2 linked regions of the Oryctolagus cuniculus genome follow. The protein of the gene in region 1 interacts with the protein of each later gene in a pairwise test. Links are inferred from orthologs where the notes say so. Each region holds a gene or a part of one and is shown on either strand. Other genes may lie near its edges. The genes, in order: ZMYND19 and TOX4.

Region 1 (4,492 bases):
ACTGCGCTGTGGGCTGCTGGCGTTGCAAGCGGCTCATGCTCACGCGCCGTGTGCCTCTCCTGTCTCTCACTGCAGCATGAGCAGGGGACCTAGTCTGTCTCGTCCTCTGGTGGACAGCAGTGCTCACGGGTGGTGGGTCTGACTGGCGTGGGCTGCCAGGAGCCCTCCCCCCACAGCCTGTAAATACGCTGTTTCTTTGCCAAATACTCCTGTTACCAACTAATGACCTTAAAACAGGGAGGCTGTCTAGGAGCTTCCTGGCAGAGCCCATCTAGTCACAGGATTCCCTAAAAACACAGAACGGGAGAAACGGGGCGAAACTGTGGGACGTATGAAGAGGACCCTGCTAGGAAGGGGTGGGGGCCCGGCCGACGAGGACGCCCTGCAGAAGCCGAGAATGGCCCCTGCTGGTGGCTGGCAACGGGCCCTCACACAACCACGTGGGACTGAGTTTTGCCAGCACCGTGATGACTCCCCCCCATCCTCGACTGCTCTTGAGACTTGGAGAAAAGAAACCACCCAAGTTCACCACACCTCACCAAGAGCTGCACTGTCTCATGCCACTGTATCTGTGGCGGCTTCCTAGGAAGGCTCACTCTCGCAGGTAACTCCCCAGGCCATGCAGAGGCGGCGGCTTGGCACACAGGGAGACCCTCCCCGGGGCCGCTGCCGGGCTGGGGCGGAGGAACGACCCTTCGCCCTCCCTGGATGCTGACTGCGCACCTGGGCGGAAAGGACGGGCGACCCACGCACACCCCGCGCCACCGGGCCGCCTGCAGCGCCTGGTCCGGCAGAGCCACACATAGACGATGCGGGCAGAGATCCCCACATTGCCCCCCTGCAAGGCTGGACTGGTGGCCCTGCCTCCCAGCCTCTCGCCCCTGGCAGGTTGAGGCACAGGGACCCAGATGTCACGAGGTTTTCTGAGAAAACAGCCTGCAAAGCAGAGCCCGGCACACGGGAAAGGGGGCTCCGCGGGGTGGCCTCTGCAGACCCCTCAATGCCCGGGGTCCCCGCCGGCTCCTCAGCCGGACACGCGCCGCCGTGGCCGCCCAGCTCGACCCCGCCCCGAGAGGCCGAGGCTTTCCGGAGGACACGCCGCGGGCGGCCCCGGCCGCGCCGTTCCAGCCGCCCCTCACCACTGGGGCCGCGCCCCATCTGAGTCCGGGAGCCGCGACCCGGGCCTCCCCGCGGGGCCGCGGGGCGGTCCAGGCCCGGGTGGCCGGCACCTTCGGGCTCCGGGGGGCTGGGCGCGGAGGCCTCCTCAGGCTGGTTCCTCAGAGGCTCGCAGCAGGTCGCCCGGCCGGGGGAGACGACGGCGAAGCGGACCCACGTGGACGCCACACAGCGGGGACCGCCCGGGCGAGGCGTAGCTGCCCGCACAAAGCTTCCCGCGAAACTGACGTCGGAGCCGGGCCCGCCGCGCAGGCGCCGCCCCCGGCCGCACCCCTCCCCCGCGCTCGCCCCGCTCCCCAGCGCGCCGGCGCACTCTCCTCTCCCCCATTGGTCGCTGCGCGGCGGCGCGCGCCAGCCGGCGCACGGCGCGCCTCGCGATTGGCTGGGCAGCGGCGGGCCGGGGGGTGTGTCCCGCGCCGCGCCCCGCCCCTCGGCTCGGCTCGCGGTGGTGCGCGCGGCGGCGACGGCGGCGGCGGCGGCGCGTGGCAGGTCCGGCGGGCGCGAGGTGGCGGCGACGGCGGCGGCGGCCCGAGCCCGGCCCAGCCTCGTCCCGCCCGGAGCCCGCCCGGCCCCGGCCCCGACCCCGGCCCGCCCGGGCGCGCCGTGGCCTCGCCTCGGCCCGGTGTCTCCCGAGGGAGCGGCGCTGCCGGCCGAGAGCGCAGGCCCGGCCATGACCGACTTCAAATTGGGCATCGTGCGGCTCGGCCGGGTGGCCGGGAAGGTGAGCGGCGCGGAGCCCGCGGCTGGGCCCGGCCCGCCCGCCCTGGCCTCTGCGCGGGGCCCGGGGCGGGGGCGGTTGTGCGGGCTGCGGCCAGGGCGGGGGCGCCGGCCCCGGAGGGGCGCCGGCGGGGCGGGGGCGCTGCGCGGGCCCGGCTGCGGGGCCTCGCTCCGGTGCAGGCCGCCTCTTGAAGTCGGTGGGGCGCGCCCCTTGCCGCCTTCGCCGGGGCCCGGTCTAGGACCAGGGCCGGAGATGCGCGCCCGTGCCCGGGCCGCGTTCGTCTGGCGCTCTCCCATGTGGGGCTTCCGAACTGGGCCCAGCCCGGCGCCAGGGCTGCACCTGCGGCCGCGCGGTTTGAACACGGCGCCCCTTCCAGGGCAGCGCCACCTCAGTCCTTCTTGCTAGGGGGTCTGATGGGGGCCTCTGAGCTTGCACTGAGCGTGGGCTTCCCCAGCGCAGGACAAGGAAGCCGGAACCCCGGTGTTGGTGAACTCGAGGGCTCCCTCGACTTCTCTCCCCTAGCCCGGCCTCCGCCCTCCACAGGCTGCAGGCGAGGCCTCTGGCACCAGTGGGCCTGGAGGCTTGGCTGTTTCCGCCTTGCAGCAGCCTGGGCCTTACCCTGATGGAAGCCTGGTCCCTATATCCAGGGACTGAGAGGCAGTCTGCATTCAAGTGAAGGTAAAACAGCTCCGATCCTAGGAGAGATCTCGCAGGAGTGAGGCTGGTGTTGTTGGGGGTGTCCCGGGCTCTCCCCTGGAGCTCTGGCCCTCTCCAGGCTGCATTAACGTCCCCAAATCTTTCATCCGGAACATTCCAGGCAGACTGAACTGGAAAAGGGTGATTGGGCGAGCACCTGTGCACCCCTTGCCCAGCTTAACAGACAAATTGAAACCTGGTGTGTACTCTGCCCCTGCTCCAGGGCAGCCCACTAGGTCTGGCCAGCTTTATCGGGGGCGGTCTTGTGTGGGAGGCCTTTGAAGCCAGGTGCCTCCTCCTGTGGCTTTGCTGTGTCTGCCGCACACGCAGTGCTGCAGAGCCAGGCCCCCTGGCTGTAATGAGGCGCAGACCCCAAGTGTAACGCTCTGTAATGTGGTTGATTTGCAGACCAAGTACACGCTGATAGATGAGCAAGACATCCCACTGGTGGAGAGCTACTCCTTCGAGGTAAGGGCGCAGATGGGGTGTTCCCGGGAGGGCCGAGCGGAGTGCAGGTGCTTGGGTCCAAGAGGCCCGGCACGTGGATGTCTGGTGCCAGCCGGTGGAGTCTCCGTGGCCTTTCTGACGCTGGCCTTGGCCGACCTGCACCCTCCCTGGTCGCTGGCTGCTGTTAAATCAACTTTTGTCCTGTTGCTGACAGGTGTCCCTAGTGCAGCTTACCCAGTCCTCTCCACGGTCCCAGGTGCTCTGTAAGGAACTTGCCTCCGACCTCTGCGAGTGGTCCCTGGTGCTCTGGCCACAGGGCCCCACAGTTCTGCAGGAGCTCCTTCTCCAGGGTGTCCCTTTCTCACGGGATCGTGGGGGGTTTTTATTGGTGGGAAATTGTCTCTGCGCCCATAGAACTTCACAAATAATTGCTTATGAGTGAGGGTTTTTTTTAAGGTTATTTAAAATTTATTTGAAAGGCAGCATTAGAAAGGGAGAGACAGAGACAGATCCTCCATCCTCTGGGCCAGGCTGAAGCCAGGAGCTTCTTGTGGGTCTCCCACGTGGGTGCAGGGACCCAAGCACTTGGGCCATCTTCTGCTACTTCCCCAGGCCATTAGCAGGGAGCTGGATCAGAAGTAGACCAGCCAGGACTAGAATCTGCGCTTCTATGGGATACTGGCCCCACAGGTGGTGGTTGAACTTGCCACGCACAGTGCCGGCCGCTAGTGTGAGCGTTTCTTGTGTGAGTGAAAGGTGGAGTGGTTGAGGGGGCATAGCTGGCCTCTGCATCCACAGACACCCAGGTCCCAGAAACGGGCTGGGCCCTGTCTTCCGGCTTTTTTGTTTCATTCGATTATTCTAAGAGGGATCTGGAAATTGGAGGATTTTACCAATCCTTTCCTTGTTCTTTTCAGGCCCGCATGGAAGTAGATGCAGACGGAAATGGTGCTAAGATATTCGCATACGCCTTTGACAAGAACCGAGGCAGGGGATCGGGCAGGCTCCTTCACGAGCTGCTGTGGTGGGTGTTCTCGCGCTGTGCTGGTCTCCCCCTCGGCCCTGTGTGACCCTCACCTTCCCCGAGTCAGTGGCCCGTTGTCTGTGCCTGGTGCCTCCTGTGGTACAGGAATGTGGACGACTGCCTTCCGCTTTGCCCAGCACTCCGTCCACAGACAAAGCGCCTCACGCCCCAGGACAGGCTCTGCGGGGGGGGGGGGGGGGGGTCCTGCGCTCTGCCCCGGCTCTCCTGGGGCGCCTCGGCGGGGTGTGAAGGGGCAGCTCACTGGGGAAGTTAACTGCCGCCTCGGTGTGCATGATGGGATGCTGGTGTCTGGGACCTCTCGCTGAGGAACTGTTTGTAGGCTGTCTGGGTCTGGTTCGGGGTATCGTTCTTGGCTCTGTGGGTCCAGCTCTTAGATTTTGGATGTCAGGCAGTCCCTGTCCTGTTGGAGC
Region 2 (4,449 bases), on another chromosome or scaffold:
GAAGGGTCTGTTAAAGTGCCTTCAGACCATAACTTGCCACAAACTGCCTTTTATTTCTTTTTAGAGAGTGATCGCCCATCCACTGGTTCACTCCCAAAATGGCATTAACAGCCAAAGCTGGGCCAGGCTGAACCAGGAGCCTAGAACCCCGTCCGGGTCTCCAGAGAAAGTGGCAGGGGCATAAGTACATGGGCCATCCTGCGGGGCTTTCCCAGGCCCATTAGCAGGGAGCTGGATCGGAAGTAAAGCAGCTGGGACGTAAACCATTGCCCCTATGGGAAGCCAGCGTCACAGGTGGCGGCTTAGCCCACTGCGCAACAACGCCCATCATCTGCCTTTTAATTGTTAGGCTGGGATGGCTCTTCGCTTCGCTTGGTCCTCTCCACCACACACACACACACACACACACAATCCAAGTACTGGTGTTGACTCTGAAACACACAGTATGAGGCTGGCACTCATATATCGCAAATCTGAGATGCGCTTTTGAATAACGCTGCTCGGCTTCCGCTGGATTTCCCATAAACATTTACACCCTATGGGAATCGGTCCGTACCTCGCACATCTCTGGACTTCCCTTCACAATTATTTATTCCTCTTTACACCACTCTTCACTGAACCTAACTTCGCACTAGTTTTAAGCGGTGAGAGGCAACTTTTGACTTGAGGACACGGAAGACAGCTGAGCTTTCCACCTGGGCAGTTCAGCGAGCCAAGGCTTTATGATCGGTTCTGGAACAAACAGCTGCACTTACCTATTGTGAGGTCGTGGACTGGCTGGAACCGCTTGTCTGTAAACTGCAGGAGGAGACATGACTTCCCCACACCTGAAAGGGGAGGACGTGCGTGCCAGGAGCCCCGCGGCCCAGAAACACCTCCCGGAGTCCGGGCGTCAGGGACGCGGGAAGGGGCGCCCCGAGCCCGAGCCCCGCCCCCGGCCGCCCCGCCCCGCCCCCGCCCGTTCCTCGCGAATCGCCCAACCCACTGAGCGAGCCCCGCCCCCGCGGCCCGATTTGGGAGCTTCGGGTGCCCGCCTCAGCCTTCGAAGGCGGCCCGCTCGCGGATTACCTGTGTCCCCGATGATGATGTACTTGAAGAGATAAGCATAAGTCATGGTCCCGATTCCTCCGGATTCCGGGTCCGCCCGACTTCTACATCCACTTGCCTCCGACCTCTCTAGCCACTCAGTCTAGCGATCTCCTTGTTTTTCCCTCTCCGGCCCCTCTAGCCAGATCACGTCTCTACTGCTCTCCCCAGAAATCCACAGCCGGACCGATGCAGTCAACGCCGCCTCCAGGGACGCCTCTAGCACCTCTACATGCCATTATCCCACCACGCTCCAGGGGGCGATATCTACCTTTTCCATCTGCTCGGCGCCTGACTCGCAGCCCCACGACGCTCCTTCCAGTCAGCGGAGAGCGACGCACTTCCTTGCGGAAGTGACGGCAGTTCCGAGGCCAGTGGGGGCGGTGGGAGCAATGAGGGGTCTGAGACGGTGGTAGAAAAGTGGTGTGAAGATGGAGGTAGGAGCCCGGGCGCTAAGAAGGCTTGGCGAGAGAGCGCCGCCGATCGGGTTGCAGCAGAGGCGGGAAGGGAGAGGCGGCTGACGGGAGAGGAGAGACAGCCGGGATTGGGGAGTGCTGTCAGAATGTCGGGATCGGAATCCGGGGCTCCAAGCGAAGTCCGTGCTCCCCCTAACTTATCACCGCGGCTTTCTTTTGGTTTCCAGTTTCCCGGAGGAAATGACAATTACCTGACGATCACAGGACCCTCGCACCCCTTCCTGTCAGGCGCCGAGGTGAGCAAGAGCCGCCGACGCTGCGGGAGGGGTGGGCCTGCGGCGGTGGGGCGGTGGGGAAGGGCGTGCGGACGCTGGGAGACCCCGGCTGGGACCCGGGGGGCGCGGTTGGTGTTCGGGGGGAAGTGGCAGCTGCTTCTAGAGCCTATCAGGACTGCCCGGGGAAGTCCTGGGGAAGCTGCTGTCACCAGAAAACCAGGGCGCTGGAAAGCGAGAACCGGCTTAAGGAGGAGAGTGAGTCCGGGTGGGGAGATGGGGGGGGGCTGTCTCCTTTTTGTGGGAGAAATACCCACGACGATCCTGGGGGATCACAATGGGAAGCAGAATTTTCAGCAGCTAACGAAGTCGGGTGAGGGGAGAAGCTCACCTAGCAGGGACTTAGCCAGGGGCCTGTGTTCACGAGCTGTGCTGAAGGGTGCGGTGGCGTTTTTGTTATTTAACTTTTCTACTGTGATAAAAAGTTAGTTACTTTTACCAACAAGGTATCAGCTTGCTTTGCTAGAGAACTTGTGCGTGCACGCGCGCGCGCCCCTGAGGACATTGTGCATTACTTCACCTGGGTATGTCACAGTTTCCTCAGCTGTCCCATAGCTGTAATAATAGTTTCTTATGATGTTGTAAAGTAAAAGTAATGCTTCTGGTGAGGTCCTAAAGGGTTGGTGAAAACGTTTGGGTTGAAATATTGCCATACTGTAGATATGTATCAGTTGCTTAGGCCAGACCAAAAAAAAAAAAGGGTCGGGGGCGAGAACGAAAAAAAACTTCCCAGACTTTGAGGGGGAACTATGAAGCAAACCTTCTACCATCTTTTGAAGTTCTTAATTTTTTAATTTTTTTTTCAAAAGTGGTGTAGACTTTTTTTTTTTTTTTGCTACTAAGAATTCTCAGTTGTTAAATGACTTTATCCTATAATAAATCCTGATATTTTCATGGATAAAAATTAGATTGGCCAGAGACAGTTGCTGACTCTTTAATTTCTTTGTTACTATTTTTACTATGCCAGGGGGACATGTAAATCAAATGTGCAATAGATATAAGAATGACAGAGTACTATCTGGTGCCTTTAAAGTTTTGGTACAAGTTTCCCATAAATGAGGGTCTCCTTGGTTTAATTTCATTATTTGGAGTCTTGTAAATCTCACATTAGCCTCAACTATATGAGTGTATTATTGCCAATCTCTTCTCAATCAGGTCTCCACAGTTTAAATTTGTTGTAAAGGTCACATTAGCTTCATTCATGAGAAAGCAGATGGTAAAATTAAATACAAATAGTTTTTTCTTTTTTAAAGATTTATTTATCTTTATTTGAAAGTCAGAGTTACAGAGAGAGGAGAGGCACAGAGACAGGTCTTCCATCCAATGGTTCATTCCCCAGATGGCCGCAATGGCCAGAGATGCACCGATCTGAAGCCAGGAGCCAAGAACTTCTGGGTCTCCCACACGGGTGGAGGAGCCCAAGGACTTGGGCCATCTTCTACTGCTTCCCCAGGCCATAGCAGAGAGCTGGATTGGAAGAAGAGCAGCTGGGACTAGAACCGGCACCCATATGGGATGCCTGTGCCTCAGGCCAGGGTGTTAAATGTATTGATTGTGCTTTATCCTTTAATCCTTTTATGAAGTTGAGCAAGCAGGAGGTAACTTCCTAAAGATGACTTTTTTTTTTTTTTTTAAAGATTTATTTATTTATTTGAAAGGCAGAGTTAGAGAGAAAAGGAGAGACAGAAGTCTTCTATTTGCTGGTTCACTCCCCAAATGGCTGCAATGGCCAGGGCTGGGCCAAGCCAGAGCCAGGAGCCAAGAGCTTCTTCCAGGTCTCCCACGTGGGTACAGGGGCCCAAGCACTTGGGCCATTTTCCACTGCCTTCCTAGGCACAAGAGCAGGGAGCTGGATTGGAAGCAGAGCACTGGAACTCAAACTGGGTACCCATATGAGATGCTGGCACTGCAGGCTTCAGCTTTACCTGCTACGCCACAGCATTGGTCCCTATCAAGAAACTTTACAGGATGGAGCCATGTCCAAGTGTTTTGGGGCTGGCACTTTGGCACAGCGGGTTAACACCCTGACCTGCAGCGCCAGCATCCCATATGGGTGCCAGTTCTAGTCCCGGCTGCTGTGGCCTGGGAAAGCAGTAAAAGATGGCCCAAGTCCTTGGGCCCCTGCACCCATGTGGGAGACCTGGAAGAAGCTCCTGGATCCTGGCTTCAGATTGGTAGAGCTCCGCCCGTTGCGGCCATCTGGGGAGTGAACCATCGGATGGAAGACCTCTCTCTCTCTCTGCCTCTGCCTCTCCTCTCCTCTCTCTGTGTAACTCTGACTTTCAAATAAATAATCTTTTTTAAAAAAGAAATTAAGTGTTTTTTTCTTCTTAAGAAGCTTATAGCTAAGTTTTAGTCTCAATTTAGCTAACTTAGCTAACTTACCATAGGCTTTCTATCATTGTTAACAGTTCTGCTTTTTCTCTTTATAACTTTACACTTTCCCTTCCCATCTTTGGCAGTGTTGTTTGGTTTTTAACCTTTAATTAGTGTGTGGTTTTTGTTGTACCCAGGTGTTTTGTTTTGTTTTGTTTTTGTTTTTAAGATTTATTTATTTATTTGCAAGGCACAGTTCCAGAGAGAGATAGAAAGACACAGAGAGATCTTCCATCCAC

Evidence for each region.
Region 2: the proteins of ZMYND19 (region 1) and TOX4 interact in binary tests that used the Homo sapiens proteins (3 or more experiments, as listed by UniProt). The two-hybrid records come from large-scale screens. The link is inferred for Oryctolagus cuniculus from reciprocal best matches to the Homo sapiens genes ZMYND19 and TOX4.

What each region holds. Positions count from the first base shown.
Region 1 is NC_091432.1:237,722,105-237,726,596, reverse strand, and holds the start of ZMYND19 (zinc finger MYND domain-containing protein 19), read left to right. Parts: upstream 1-1,628; 5' UTR 1,629-1,846; coding exon 1,847-1,897; intron 1,898-2,224; exon of another isoform or gene 2,225-2,572; intron 2,573-2,998; coding exon 2,999-3,058; intron 3,059-3,954; coding exon 3,955-4,061; intron 4,062-4,492. UniProt on the Homo sapiens protein: May be involved as a regulatory molecule in GPR24/MCH-R1 signaling.
Region 2 is NC_091443.1:53,459,974-53,464,422, reverse strand, and holds the start of TOX4 (TOX high mobility group box family member 4), read left to right. Parts: upstream 1-1,391; 5' UTR 1,392-1,517; coding exon 1,518-1,523; intron 1,524-1,729; coding exon 1,730-1,798; intron 1,799-4,449. Other genes in the region: RAB2B (ras-related protein Rab-2B), read right to left, coding at 756-827, 1,069-1,114. UniProt on the Homo sapiens protein: Transcription factor that modulates cell fate reprogramming from the somatic state to the pluripotent and neuronal fate. In liver, controls the expression of hormone-regulated gluconeogenic genes such as G6PC1 and PCK1.